Alligator mississippiensis: one gene and its partner. The protein of the gene in region 2 purifies or fractionates together with the protein of the main gene of each other region. This does not show direct contact. Links are inferred from orthologs where the notes say so. Each region holds a gene or a part of one and is shown on either strand. Other genes may lie near its edges.

Region 1 (7,299 bases), on a different chromosome or scaffold from region 2:
TCGGCTGCTGCAATAAAAACTCCCTGAGTTGGTTTCTGGGGTGGACCATGCAAAATAAGACCATGTCTTTATTGCCCACTGCATCAGTGCCACCCAAACTGGCCGTGCCAGCCCGCTTCTTGCACTCGGTGGCGGGGGGCCAAATCCTGCCTGCCTCTTAGCACCGCCTCACCCTTGTCCCTGGCTGCAGATGCAAAATATCTCGGAGGCGACAGCCAGGTTTTGTCTCCTCTGGGCAAGTTCCCCCTTCCCACGGGGGCGGGAGCCGGGAGGAAGGGTGGCGTCGGAGTTTCGTTTTTTCTGAGATACCGTTAACTAGTGAGCAAAGGTTGCAGTGTCTCCATGGAGACAAGACAGTGAGCGAGACGGCGTGTGTGTGGATCTAAGGTTAGCGCTGATTAGTAAATGTCAGCAGCACCGCTGCGTTCCCGCAAGTGCCCTCCACCAGCGCCAGCGCCGGCCTGGGCGCCCGGCGGCACGGGCAAAGCAGCGAGCCAGGCTGGGGGCGAGGGCACCTCCGTGCCCACGGGGAACCGGGATCCCGCTGACCCCTGGGCAGTGCTGGCGTTGTCACTTTGCCATCGTGACCGCTGCCAGCCCAGGTCTCCAGCCCCCCCGAGGTTTATCGCGGCCCCTCGCTGCGCCCCGTGCAAGCATCAATCGAAGGGGGAGACTGGGGTGCAAGATGCGTGCTCCTTGGCCCTTGGCCTGGCCGCTGGGCTTGGGGTGCCATGCTGATCAGGCTCCGGCAGAAGATCTCGAGGATGACAAACCGGAGCGCTCTGCAAAACAGAAAAGCGCAGCTGTCTCCGTCTTGCGGAGAGAGAAACGGCGACTCGGAGAGATAAAGGGGTTTGTGGTTAGGACTGACGTGATGCCAGTCGCTGTCGCAGCTCGGCGCCTGGATCAAACCTCGCTGCTCCCAGCTCCCAGCCCTGCTCTGTCACCACGAGGCTACGTGGCCTCCCTACAAAACAGGTCATTTCGGGGTCCTGGGGGCTTCGGTCGCTGAGTTGAGCCCCTTTTGAAGAACAGGCCCGTTTTCGTGTCCATAAAGTGCTGACGGCGTGACGAGCCAGCGCGTCGCAAACCTCCCTTGCAGCTTATCAGAATGAGAAATGTAAGCAGAGCTCTCCTCCACGCAGCACAAGTGAGCAGCTGGCTGGGAAAACCAAGGGACCGCTGAAGCTCACAGGCAGGATTTCACGTCCGCCCCCAACACACAGCACTGCACCACCGCTCTGTCTTCACAAAGCAGATCAATCAGCTCGACGGGCTGGCTTTACTTGATGCTCTTCGGTCCCCGCATCCCTTCAGCTTTGGTCCGGTTCGGAGGCCTGCACGTGAACAAGTGCTCGGCCCCGGAGGCGTTGCTCTAATGTCGAGGCCAGGTGCAAATCCCTGCCCGTTGCCTCCGTTTCCCAAAGCCAGTCGCAATCTGCGGGTGCCTCTCGGTCGGAGGGTGCGCTGCTCCGTGCACCCCTCCTCAGGCAGGGCAACCGTGCAGTCCCAGGTGAGACGGCAGCACGTACCGAGCCTGCCCGGGGATTAGCAATGCAGCGGCACAGGCTCCAACGCAGGCTGGACAAACCTGTCCGAAATCCTGGGTACGTGCTGGGCTACAGATGAGCAAGGAGGCTTTTAGGCCCCCCGTTCCTAGAGACCCCCCGTGTTATGTGGGCAGCGGGGATGTACTCGGATGTGCTGCAATACCCACGCGGTTGTTAGCACCGAAGCAGTTGCCTATCGACACACGCTGCCGTTATGCTGCAGTGCCGTGAAGAGATCACCCTGTGCAGCTCCGAGCACATGGTCAGCTCCACGCAGAGTTGCAGTGCGATGGCCCAGTGAGCCCTCCCGAGTCCAGATGGGCAGTGGCTTGATCTTACTTAGCTCCCCGAGATCAAGCATCTTATTTCCAGAAGGCCTCGTTCGGTCTGCTGGCCCCCTTCGGTGGTCGGCACTAAGATTTTGACAGGCACAACCCACGGGCTTAACGTAATGAGATTGCAGCGCTGGGGAAGGATAGAAAAAAGGAGCATAAGCTCAGGACTGAAGTTCACCATGAAAGCAGCGTGTCATGGAAAAGCCTCCATCATCTCCCCCCCCCCCGCCCACGCCAGCTGCTCAGCTAGTCACCTTGGCGGTCTGCAGGGCAGCGCAGCCAGAGGATCATTTACAGGCAGAAAATACAGAAAGGCAATTGGCAGGTGATGAGATCCTTTCCAGGAGAGAAATAAGTGTCAGGGGGCAGCGCGGCTGCCTGGGATACTGCAGCACAGCACATATTCAGGAGGGCTAAACTGAGACACGTGTGCGTGCAAGCACCCCCCCCCCCCCCGAGATAAAGGTTGCAGAGCAGACACAGATTAGGTGGCTCCCTTGAGGCTATGACACCTAGAGAGAGAAGCAAATCCTCTTCGAGTGAACTGGCAGCGAGGAAAACCTGGAGTCCAAAACCTCCAGCACCTTCCCGTTGGGGCAGAGGCTACGCCTTGCGGCGGTGCGAGCTTGTTAGCACCGCAGAGGTGCGGGGCACCGGGCAAGGGGCTTCTCACGGGGAGAGCGTAGATCCGTTGCTCTCAACTTCGTCCCGGCGTAGACTCAAGGTCCCCTGGGAAAATGCCAGCTCTTCGCTTTCACTGTTTTTTTGGACTACAGAAAAATAACACGAGCATTTTTTTTTTTCCCTGTGGCAAAGCACTCGGAAAGACCCCAGCTGCGGATTCCTATTTGAAACCTCTGGGTTTTTCTCCTGAATCGCTAACCGGGCAGTGGCACCCCGGGGAGGATCTCAGGGCACCCTGCTTGAGAATCCCTGGTGCTGATGGGAGGAGCTCCTGGAGGGGTGGCGCCAAGTAATTAGTCCTGATTATTTCAAGATGTGAGCTAAAGGCAGGCCCCAGGGAAGGGGGGGGGGGAGATGGGATGCGGTCAGGGAGCACTGGCAGATTGGCAGGTGCTGATTAAGACGAGCGTGACCTTCAGCCCTGGAGATGCTCGCTGACCCAGTTGCTGCGGCGTTCAGCTGCCGAGCCGTCCTTTGTTGGCCTTTGCTGTGGCAGCCCCGCGAGGTGCTGCGCTGCGGGAGGGGAGACGGAGAGCTGCGCGGGCCTTGCACGTGGCTCGTGTGGCAGGTGTGTCGTCTGCGGGCGCCGGGGGAGTCCAGGAGGGTCCCTGGGCTGTTCTCTTTGTGCTGTGCGCAAAGTGGGGCGAGGACGAGCTGCTTTCCCCACCCCACCCCGCTCCCGTCCCACGTCCCCAGCGCAGCCAGCTTCCCGTGGCACGTGGAAACGCAAGGGGGAAGTAGGTGGGCTGTGGTGCGCTCTAGCTAGTGCCTAATCCAGCTCCAGCTGGCACAGTTTAGAGCGACCCCCAGGCTGCTCTAACTTTCCCTAAGGCCGGGAGGGAATCGGGGAGTTTGCTCCTACGCGTGTGCCATTGGTGCAAAGGGGAGCGCCTGCACTGCTCTCGCCTGCCGCGCGTCCCTGCAGCATTGCAAAGGGCATATATTGGGATTTGGGGGGGGACCCCAAATGTAGGGTGGCACTTAGTGAATTAATTATAATGCATTTGCAAGGGCACTCCATCCCTCGTGGGCTGAGCAGATGGAGGCCTCTGGCTCGTGCTGCTGATGTGACTTGTGCCCATTTCCTTGCCCTGCTAGTTGTGCCTCTTAATCCGGAAGTGGCAGGCAGGCCAGGCTGCGGCACTGCAGGGGTTAAACAGGCACCGCCCGCCTCTGCTCCGCCCCCTGCCGGAAGGCCCAGCCCCACCCCCGCTCTCGTTTCCATTTGGGCCCTTCCCTCTACTAGTATCCCCCCTCCCCCTTTTCTTTTTCCGAAGTGGACCCTTCCTCAGAGTTCACGAGCCGTGCGGGTAGGACAAGACCAATGCCAAATGAGGGGTGGGTCAGCCCTGGAAATGCCCACCGTTCCCTAAAAAAAAAGAAAAACAAGGCAGCCCAATGGCATCCAAAGAAGACACATAACTATTTCCGTCAAGTGCTAGCCTTGAGTTCCCACCCCAAGCAGCCATGCTTCGCTTCCCCTCCCCTCCCCTCCCCGCGGGTGGTACGTTCCCCCTTGTTTACTCTGTTTGCGTCGCCCGCTTGGGTGCGGCCCCGGTGTTACGCTAGCGTCGTACGCAAGCGGCGCAGCACGGCGGCTTTGACAGGCGGCGCCCAGCAGCCAATGGCATGCGGGGAGAGGCAGGCGGGGAGCCAATGGGGCGGCGCGCCGGCGCCCGGGGAGGCGGGGCGGGGCCGCGCCGGGCCGGGCGGGCGGGAGGGGAGTCGCGGAATGGCGGCCGGCGGGGGCGGCCCGCCCCGGGGGTAGCGGCGGCGGCGGCGGCCGAGACGCGGCTCCAAGCGGGGGTGAGCGAGCGCGCGCGGGAGGGCGAGGGGGGGCAGCCGGGCTCCAGGCCGCTGCCACATAGGGAGCCACGGGCCTGTGGTGGGGGGGCGCTTCCTGCCACATAGTGACCGGGGGACTGGTCCAGGGGGGCTGCCCCCCGCTTATGGGGTTATAGCCCCCCCCTTGGGGTGTTTGCCCCCTCCCCCCCCCTTGGGGTGTGTGGGGCTGCCCCCTCCCCCCCCCTTGGGGTGTGTGCCCCCTCCCCCCCCCTTGGGGTGTGTGGGGCTGCCCCCTCCCCCCCCGTTGGGGTGTGTGGAGTTGCCCTCTCCCCCCCCTTTGGGGTGTATGCCCCCTCCCCCCTCTTGGGGTGTGTGGAGTTGCCCCCTCCCCCCCCTTTGGGGTGTGTGCCCCCTCCCCCCTCTTGGGGTGTGTGGAGTTGCCCCCTCCCCCCCCCTTTGGGGTGTGTGCCCCCTCCCCCCCCCTTTGGGGTGTGTGCCCCCTCCCCCCCCCTTTGGGGTGTGTGCCCCCTCCCCCCCCCTTTGGGGTGTGTGCCCCCTCCCCCCCTTGGGGTGTGTGGGGTGCCACGACAGGTGCGTGGGGCTGTGCTGTGCCCCACCCGCAGCAGTGCCGGGGGCGGGAGAGCGCGTGGTCCCGGCGTGGCAGGGTGGGGCCGAGGACACCTCGCCCTAGGCGGCCCCCCATCCCGGAGGGGCTGCGCGGGGTGCAGCAGGCCCAGGGCAGCCCCGCGCTGACCTCCACACGGGTGTCATCTCCCGCGTGTCCTTGGGCCTGCCCGAAAGCAGCACTCGGAGGACACGAGCCCTGAATCCCTTCGGGCCGGGGGAAGTTGCGGCACTTCCCGGCCCTCGGGCCCTGCTCTGACATCAGGGAAGTTTTCTCAAAGTTTGTGCTGCTGCCTGGGCTGGACGTGTCTCGGTGACATCCTCAGCCCCGCTCGCCCTCCCGCGCAGGGGGGGCGGCTGGCAGTTTTCGATGCCGCTTTAAAATGCCGAGAGCGGGTTTGTTTCCCGGGGTGTTAAAAGTGTTGGTGACCTGCCTGCTGCACGGCGCCCGCTATCCCAGGCATCAGAGGAGATGTTAGCAGCGAGGAGGAGCTTTTAGAAGATGTTTCTGCTGTGGACAGGGCTGTAATTTGTCAAGCCCTTTGTGCTCCTTACGCTTGTATGACATCCTTAAGAGCAGGAAGCCTTGCGAGAGGGGGGAAAAGTTGAAAGTGAAAGACGTGCCGGGGCCAGCGAAGAACAAAGGCCCTGCCTTGCAGTAGAACTGACACGAGAAATGTTACTTAATGGGCAATATTTAAGTGTGCACGCTTGCACAGTATTTGCCAAATGAGGAAGAAAAAGGGCCTAAACGTCTCACACTAGTTTGAAATGCCTGCAGAGCCGGTGCTTATTAAAAGCTGCTCACATGGACGTGTTCAGCGTTAGGATTTTCGGTTCAGCAGAAGTTCTGTGTCGAGCGCTCTGAGCGGGTTTTGTCTTGTATTTAAGTTATCCTTTTCCATTTCGTGTTTTAAACCAATCGAATTTAAACTTCAATGATATCTTTATAGTATGACTTGGAAAATCTGATCAGTTGCAGACTCGCAATCAATGCTTTACCTGGCGAGAGGACTGAGCGGGCCAGATGCTTCTGCAGATTTTATGCTTTTTTTTGAGAGAGAGAGCGAGAGTTTTTGTTGAAAATGTGAGTGGGAAAGCTGGACCTAAGGTGCAGAGGTCAACCTAATCCAGATCCCTGTGTGAGCCACCACTTGGAAGGCAGGACCTGAGTGTGTTGTCAGCAGCAGGGATTGAACCTGGGACCTCTGCATTCAAAAGCATGAGTTTTCTACTATGAGTTGTTTTTATGTGTTGGGGTTTGTTTTTAACTCCAAAGCCTTTGTTCTCCCTGCCAGGACTATAGCAGGCTCATCAACTTTAGGGTTTAACCTAGCCAAAACGAGGGTGCAAGCACCATGCTGAGTGGGTGGAAGCTACGAGAAAATAATCTTCCAGGATGAATGGACTGTACATCTTTCTGAGGCCCTGCTTCACTTTGGTTGGGGGTTTTTTATGTACGTGTGCGCCTCAGAGTAACCAGTGTGCATTACCTATCCTGAAGGGAAGACAGGGCCACCTCAGTTTTACCGCGAGGAAATTCAGCAGCATGCCTTGTCTTGATCATTTTTTAAATTTATCATGCCTGTTGTTAATTATGTGGCTAAGACCGGAGTCTGGATCCACTGGGTCCAGTACCACTTCTACTGGCCAGGGTCTTTCCAAGCACCCGCAGGTGACATGAGCAACACACCCGGCAGTTTCACCACCGCCTTTTCCTTCTGAATCTGGTGAGCGGCAGTGAATGCTTTGTCTGGGATGATGTAGTTGGGCTGGTCTTGCTTGGAGCAGGGGGTTGGACTACATGTGACCTCCTGAGCTCCCTCCCACCCCAAATTTTCTATGATTCAATGAAACTGGTAGAACCCGGGGAAGCTGAGTGGTCCTTAAAACTTCAAGGTGGACCTCCACTCACCATTCGTTTGCCCCTTGCCATGATAAGTTTTTGGTGAACTTCCTAAGCTCAAATTTGTACGGGTGTCCAGAACATTCACGATAATGGAAAACGTGCTAGAATAAGAGCTGAAGAAAAAGGCAAGCGGGCTTTGGGTAGTAGTACTGATGCAGAGTGCAGCAATGTATTTGTAGTGCTGTATTTAAAACAAAACAAAAAACAGTCTTAATAAGCAGTAGACAGCCACAAAACTATTGACGAATTTTTTGGCAAAAGGGCTGAATTAGTAGTAATGTTCTGTTGAGCCAAATTTTATACCCACATCTCTAGGAAATGTATTGTGTGCCAAATAAATACAGAAAGCATATCTTAAAGCTTACAGTTGAGAACACTTTCATGAGTAGTGACTCATTGGTCAGTGGGTCTC
Region 2 (7,713 bases):
AGAAACAGCATGGACAAGAGCTAGAAAGTGATTCAGGCTGTCTGCACTAGTCAGCTTGCTTTGGTCCAGCCGAAGAGACCCCTGCCCATGCCAAAACAGCTCTAAAAACTGCAGAGGGGGGATTTTACTGATCAGGGCACTCTAACCCAGCTGCCTGTGGTATCACAGACAGGGCAGCAGCGCCATGGGGAAGTGGGCAGAAAGCCTGGCACAGAGGACAGCAGCTGTGATGAGGAGAGATGGGCTTGTTTATGGCCACGGCCTGGCTCTTAAAGGATGCCCCACTTTGTGGCCTGTGCCAAGGACATCCACACTGCTGCTTATTTTTTATATCTTATATATTTCTTACATCTTATGGAGATGCACCACAGGTTTTCAAAGGATGCTGGTTTTCTACAGATTATGTGTCTCTCCTTCCAGATTTGTGCCTAGAGGCAGGTAGCGTGGGGTGCAGAGTACTTGGAAGTCGGGTGCAGAGAACTGGGGGGTTATTGCTGGCTGTGCTTGAACCCTGTCCACGGAGGTGACCCCCCGACACCCTGAAGGGAGAAGGCAGCAGTGGGATGGACCTTAGACCTAGACGTGGTGCTGAGCTGCCAGCATTGGGCTGGATGACTGCCAGGGTTGAGCTGTACTGTCTGCAGCACAGAGGGCTTCAGAGTGACCATAAATCAATGTAGATCTAGCCTCACAACCATCATGTTTCTGTGAAACCACCCTCCTTTGCTGAAGAGTCAGAAGAATAACTTCATCTGTGTGAACAGAGGAGAAGAATAAATTCATCTATCTCCATACTATGGGCAGAGGGAGGGGGTATACAAGTAGTCACTATATAGTGACCGCATGGCTGAAAACACGAGGAAGGGACGGAGCCAGGGGGAGAGAATGGGATTACAATGGACCGGGATGCAGGAGGAGGAAACATTCAGGATCGATCTCAGCCAGCGAGGCTTCTTCAGGCCCCATCTGTCCACCCCGACTCACGTGAAATAGGACTTCCAGGGGTGCACAGTCACTTTGCAATCCAGGAGATGCGTGCGGGGGGAGTGCAGCTCCCGGGGAGCCAGGCTTGCAGATCGGGGCTCCTGAGTCACTGCTACAAGTACGATTAATAAGCACGGCGCTCTCCTGCCCCTCTGCTACATCCCAGCCATGGCCAGCGGCCCTGTACGTGGAGTCCTTGAATCTGGACATAATCTAACCTCGCTAACCATCTTTTTTTTTGCTAGTCTAGAAGGTGCACCTCTACCATAAATGCAGACAAATAGGGCTAACTACCTTTCTCTTACCACCTCTGTGCTTTTGTGGGGGGGATGACTTAGCCAATATTTTCGTGGCAGGAGGTGACAAAGGAAAGGGATCCTGTGCTATTGTTTGGAAACGGCATTGCCAGAGTCCTGTCTAATTGGGATTGCTGGTAGATGACAGGGAAACATTCATTTCCTGGGAAACTCAATCTCACATAGGCAGAGAAGTGTAATGAATTGTGAGCCAAATGTTTGAAAAATCCCATCCTCCTTTCCTTGTTTTGTTCTTGTTGCTGCTATTGTTAATAGTGACAAGAACAACAATAATAGTTGCAGTATCACAGATTTGGGCTGCTCAGGCCGGGTTTGCTGGACAGACGCCGGCCCCACCGAGCAAGGTGCTGCGTGGTTCCTTTCGGCTTCCCTAAGGAAAATCAGCGGGAGGCATGAAGAGCTAAACTCTTCTCTCCAGGCAGCACCGCTGGATGGACGTGGGTTGAACAGACAGCAGGATTTAGCCCAAGTAATCCATCCCGGTGACCAGCATCTGACAGCTCTCCTCACCTAAGCCACCAGCAGCTGGTTCTTTCTGCTTCCCGTGTACAGCGGGCTGGCTCAGGTGGCTCGGCCGGCCCATAATCACTAGAGATCCCTCGGATCCAAAAACCACCGCCCCAGACCCCCGTGCTGAAAGCAGCAGATGGCTCGAGGGAGCCCAGTGAGGCTGCCCCTTGCTAAGGCTCTTTTCCCCTCTGAAGCATCAAGGTTTGTCCTGAATTCCCACCGCCAAGCAAATGCACAAACAACTCCAAGCCCCCGAGCACGCACAAAGGTCTCCGTTCGCCTCTCCCACCCCACCAGACCCCCTCAGCCTGCAGGCATTGCCTGCAACACCCACGGCTCCTTCCCTCACCCCGGGACCCGGCCGGCACCAAAGAGCTTGGGCTGGCAGGGGCGAGTGGGCAGGGACAGGTCTGCAGGCCCAGGCGGGGTCTCCAGGAGGGATGCTTCCATGGGACCCCAGCATCCAGGGGCTCCCTGGAGGGAAGCGCTCCCCGTACCCTCCTTAGGGAAGCAGGCAGCACCTTGCCTTCTGGGGCCAGGCCCTGGCTGACAAAGCCAGCACCGAGGAGCCCAAATGCAGTCATCCTCGCTGCTGCTACAGCTGCTGTGCTGGTTCCTTGGTGCTCCAGGCCCTGGCCAGACTCCTGCCCCACCTCTGCTGGGTCTGACCATGCCCATGCCCATGCCCGGTTCCCCTGCCCTCCAGCCCCATCTCTGCTGGGCCTGAACATGCCCATGCCTGCTTCCCCTGCACCCCAGCCCCTCTGCCCCATCTCTGCTGGGTCTGACCATGCCCATGCCCGGTTCCCCTGCCCTCCAGCCCCTCTGCCCCATCTCTGCTGGGTCTGACCATGCCCATGCCCGGTTCCCCTGCCCTCCAGCCCCTCTGCCCCATCTCTGCTGGGTCTGACCATGCCCATGCCCGGTTCCCCTGCACCCCAGCCCCCCTGCCCCATCTCTGCTGGGTCTGACAGTGGCCATGCCCAGCTCCCCTGCCCTCCAGCCCCATCCCTGCCTCTCCCACGCCCCAGGCAGGCTCTGGTCCTCCGGGCCCCTCCAGCCCCGGCAGCCGGGAGCATCCTGCTTGCCGCGGGATGGAGCGGGGGAGCCGCTTACCTGCGCCGCGGGGCCGGGCCGGGCCGGGCCGGGCCGCGCCGGGAGGAGGATGCTGCAGCCGCCGCCTCTGCTGCTGCAGCCGCTGCCGGTGCGTGCGCGTGTGCGCGTGTGAGCGAGTGTGAGCGCCTCCGTGTGTCACACAAAGAGAGGAAATGGCTGCAGCAAGTGCACTTCCTCGGCTCTCCGCTGCGCCCGGGCACCGGCCCCTGCAGCATCTACCTCTGCAGCATCTACCCCTGCCCCTACATCACCTACCCCTGCCCCTGCAGCATCTACCCCCTGCCCCTGCCCCTACATCATCTACCCCTGCAGCATCTACCCCTGCATCTACCCCTGCCCCTACATCACCTACCCCTGCCCCTGCAGCATCTACCCCCCTGCCCCTGCCCCTGCAGCATCTACCCCTGCATCTACCCCTGCCCCTACATCACCTACCCCTGCCCCTGCAGCATCTACCCCCCTGCCCCTGCCCCTACATCATCTACCCCTGCAGCATCTACCCCTGCCCCTACATCATCTACCCCTGCCCCTGCGGCATCTGCCCCTGCAGCATCTACCCCTCTGGCCCTGCCCCCCCCCCCAGCTCTTCCCCCAGAGATGCAAGGCTGCAGCAATGCCAGGTCCCCGGGGACCCCTGGGGTGCACCCCTGCCTCCTGGTCCCCTTCCCAAGGGAGGTTGTGACAGCGCAGGTGAGGCTGGACTATACAAGGAAATGTAGGACACGAGTGCTACTGGAGAGCGGCTTGGCAAGGGCAGGTGTGGTTTCAGCAGGGGGGCGTCCAAAAGGGCACGGTGCCATTGTTGTGCTTTTGCCACCAGCCTCCAAGGTCACCTCCAGAACGGGGGTTCCCAAACTCGGGCAGATGGAGCACCACCATTTAAAACGATACAGCCTTAAGTACCACTGGCAATTTTTTTAGTTCAACCTTAAGTGCCACCAGCAAGTTTTTATCATAAAATAATTATAATAAATCTGTTAACGTGTACCACTCTCAGGTTGTCCGGTATGCATCCCGCGGATTGGGAACTGCTGATCCAGAATATGGCAGGACCTACGATGGCCGATGGGCACCTGCTGGCTCCCAGGGAGAGGATCCCCTAGAGAAGGAAGAGCCGGGTGGTACGAAGGAGGTCTCACATCCATCCTCTCTCTGCTCCTTGTCTGGCTCAGCCACCTCCCTGTCAAACTGGAGTTGCCGCTCCATATCTGCATCCACCAGATGGAAGAAGAAGTGGTTTGAATGGGTCGACTGCGTAACGTCATGTTGCATGGCAATCCTTCTGGAGGAGCCAGAGCACCTTCTTTACAGCCGTGGCCAGCTTCGGGCATCGTCTGAGCTTTTCTCTGGCTATCAGGGTGGTTCAGCACCGGGTTGGATTCCTGAGAGAGCATCATGAGCCTCCTAGAGAAGACGACATCTAGTCCAACCCCCCCGCCTCAGGCAGGATCAGCCCTTTCCAGGCCCTGCCAGTTTGGAAGCTTTTAAGAGCAGATTAAACAAACACTTGTCCAGGGTGGTTGAGACAGGATTGATCCTGCCTTGAATTAGATGTGGCCTCCCAAGCTCCCTTCCAGCTGTAGTGTACTGTGATTTTCTGATGGGCTGGGATAGCAACATCAATGACTAGTGCTAGCCTGGTCATCTCATCCACAAACACGGTGTCTGAATATAAGAATTGCTGTCTACTGGGTCAGTCCTTAGGTCACAGAATAGAAATATAGAAAATTCAGGTTGGAAGAGAGCTCAGGAGTCACATCTAGTCCAGCCCCTGCTCCGAGCAGGACCAGCCCCAGCTACATCATCCCAGCCAAGGCTTTGTTGAGCTGGGTCTTAAACACTTCCAAGGATGGAGACTCCACCACCTCTCTAGGTAACCTGTTCCAGTGTTTTACTACCCTCCTAGAGAGAAAGTTTTTCTTAATATTCAATGTTATGACCCCTCATTCTTGCATTGGGAGAGAGAGTCAATAATAAATCCCGATTTACTTTCTTTTTCCAGTTAGTATTTGGTAGCCCCTTATCTGGGTGTGGTGGTTTGTGTGCCAAGGTTTGCTCCGCGATGGTTGACCTATCCCAATGTGTTTTGGTTTCATCATCTTCCAGCACTGGTGGCAATCTGTGCTTGCAGCGAGGGTCGGTAGCCTTGGCCATCTGTCCGGTACAAGCCAATCTGTAGGGCATTACCTTGGCCACAGCATTGTGCTGCTCAGTGCACGCTCAGGTCATGAGGTCCAGGCACCTGCCCATGAGACGGTGAATAGTTTCAGTGAGGAAGCCAAGCCCGCACCTGTCTGGCACGTCATCTTTCAGGGCAATGTCTTTTCTTCCAGTAGTCTGGTCCCAGATGTGAGCACACACGTGTGCATGCATGCTCACGCACACACACACACATGCATAGTGCCATGCTAACAGTTGAGTTGGGTGCATTTCTCAACAAGGAGAAATGCAAAGTGCTGCACCTAGGGAGGAAAAATGTCCAGCACACCTACAGCCTAGGGAATGACCTGCTGGGTGGCACAGAGGTGGAAAGGGATCTTGGAGTCCTAGTGGACTCCAAGATGAACGTGAGCCGGCAGTGTGACGAAGCCATCAGAAAAGCCAATGGCACTTTATCGTGCATCAGCAGATGCATGACAAATAGGTCCAGGGAGGTGATACTTCCCCTCTATCGGGCGCTGGTCAGACCGCAGTTGGAGTACTGCGTGCAATTCTGGGCGCCGCACTTCAAGAAGGATGCGGATAACCTGGAGAGGGTACAGCGAAGGGCAACTCGCATGGTCAAGGGCCTGCAGACCAAGCCCTACGAGGAGAGACTAGAGAAACTGGACCTTTTCAGCCTCCGCAAGAGAAGGTTGAGAGGCGACCTTGTGGCTGCCTATAAGTTCATCACGGGGGCACAGAAGGGAATTGGTGAGGATTTATTCACCAAGGCGCCCCCGGGGGTTACAAGAAACAATGGCCACAAGCTAGCAGAGAGCAGATTTAGATTGGACATTAGGAAGAACTTCTTCACAGTTCGAGTGGCCAAGGTCTGGAACGGGCTCCCAAGGGAGGTGGTGCTCTCCCCTACCCTGGGGGTCTTCAAGAGGAGGTTAGACGAGTATCTAGCTGGGGTCATCTAGACCCAGCACTCTTTCCTGCTTATGCAGGGGGTCGGACTTGATGATCTATTGAGGTCCCTTCCGACCCTAACATCTATGTATTACCACTTCTGGCTCGAGGGGTGAATCAAGTATTTGGAGTATTTGTCCAGGTTTGGAGGAGAACCTGGAGGTGGAATCAGATTCTGCTATTAGACTCCTAATTATTTGCAAAGGATGTGGCTGTCTGATTTCCCTGAATTTGTGAGGAGCCAGGGAACAGGACAGTTTCTTCGCTCGCAGCTCCAAGCCTCTTCCAGACGGCACTCGGCCCTAAAGCTCTCTCAGAGGCCATATTTCCAGTGGTTTTATCTTAAAGTTTTTGCTGCCTTCCCTCCCTGCTTCTCTGGCTTTTCTGCTGTTGCTCCCCCACATGTGTACCTTCACAGATCAATACCCAGAAAAACTCTCTTGCCTACATTTTCCTGTGCTTGGGATACAGGTTTCTGTGGGTTCAACATCCTGACTGCTGTAAGCATCTGGGTGGCTTTATTCAACCATTTTAAACCCTGCAGATTCACAGTCGTTTAGGCAAACCCATAGCAACCTCCTCCATCTTAGCTCTGCAGTGTATCCATGGAGTCTAAACTGGCAGCGCCGTTAGCCAGCTCATCTCAGCAGAAGCAATTCAGCAAATTGCACATGATGCAGTCTGAACTACAGACGTATTCCCAGAGCGTCTCCCTGCCAGGATATTTTCCTACCACCAGTCCCAAACAATTCAGCTCCCAACTAAATCTTGGAGTTTTCCTATCCCTGCCTGATTTCCTTTCAGGCAACCAGGATGAGCCCTCTCAATGATCCCCTGAAGATTTTTTTAGTCGCCAGTGCTGCTACAGGGATGCACGTGCCATCCTCACTGCACACTTCCTCCCCTACCTACAAATAAGGGTGCAAATGCTCTAGAGATTTAGCCACTGCCAGCACCCCTCTTGGGTGCTGCGATGCTTTCCCTCTGCAGAAGTCAGCCTTCGTTGCAATACGCTGTCGTGCTCTCAGGTTTTTTGTATTCTTGCATTAATACCGCCCCCAAACTGCGAGCGGTGGGATCGGCATCTAATGCAGAGGGTGACCCAAGTCAGGAGCAGTCACAAGGGCCTTCTGCTCTGAATTGCACCCGTGAGATCACTGAAATTGTTTCCCTTTCTCACCCGGCCTCTGCAACCGTTATGCAATATTAGCAAAACCACAAGTACACTTTCTGCAGCTGGATCATATCCTTGCAAAACTCGGAGGCCTGTGCATGCCTGGGGAGCTGCTCGGTTCCACGCAACCCTCGTTAGTTAGACTGCCTGTGGAAATTGTCCCCAACTTTTTGCTCAAGGTAAATGACCTCTTTTTAAAACAACTCACACTTTGCTAGGTAGTCTGGACTCAGACGGAGAGGCTGGAGCGTGAAGGGGCAAAAGGAGAGCTTATTCTCCCAGTGAAAACATAGATCCAGCTCACCGTTTTCCCTGTGCTCCTTGCACGCATGAAGCAAGCGAAGGGGATGGGGATGGGGATGGGTTGCCTGTGATGAAAGCAGGTGGAAGTGCATGTGGATACTGAACCCAGGATCTTTCAAGACAGCCAGGCAGATCCTGCTGGGTGGAGGCAATGGGAAAGGTCTAAGTACTGAGGTTGGAATCGATGATCTGGCG

Evidence for each region. Proteins that work in one complex are often made in the same cells at the same time.
Region 1: the proteins of CYFIP2 (region 2) and WASF2 purify together in Homo sapiens (co-immunoprecipitation; 3 studies listed by BioGRID and IntAct, with this or other methods). This does not show direct contact. The link is inferred for Alligator mississippiensis from reciprocal best matches to the Homo sapiens genes CYFIP2 and WASF2.

Annotation. Positions count from the first base shown.
Region 1 is NC_081829.1:2,438,659-2,445,957, forward strand, and holds the start of WASF2 (actin-binding protein WASF2), read left to right. Parts: upstream 1-4,281; 5' UTR 4,282-4,375; intron 4,376-7,299. UniProt on the Homo sapiens protein: Downstream effector molecule involved in the transmission of signals from tyrosine kinase receptors and small GTPases to the actin cytoskeleton. Promotes formation of actin filaments. Part of the WAVE complex that regulates lamellipodia formation.
Region 2 is NC_081832.1:77,889,283-77,896,995, reverse strand, and holds the start of CYFIP2 (cytoplasmic FMR1-interacting protein 2), read right to left. Parts: upstream 3,010-7,713; 5' UTR 2,928-3,009; intron 1-2,927. UniProt on the Homo sapiens protein: Involved in T-cell adhesion and p53/TP53-dependent induction of apoptosis. Does not bind RNA. As component of the WAVE1 complex, required for BDNF-NTRK2 endocytic trafficking and signaling from early endosomes.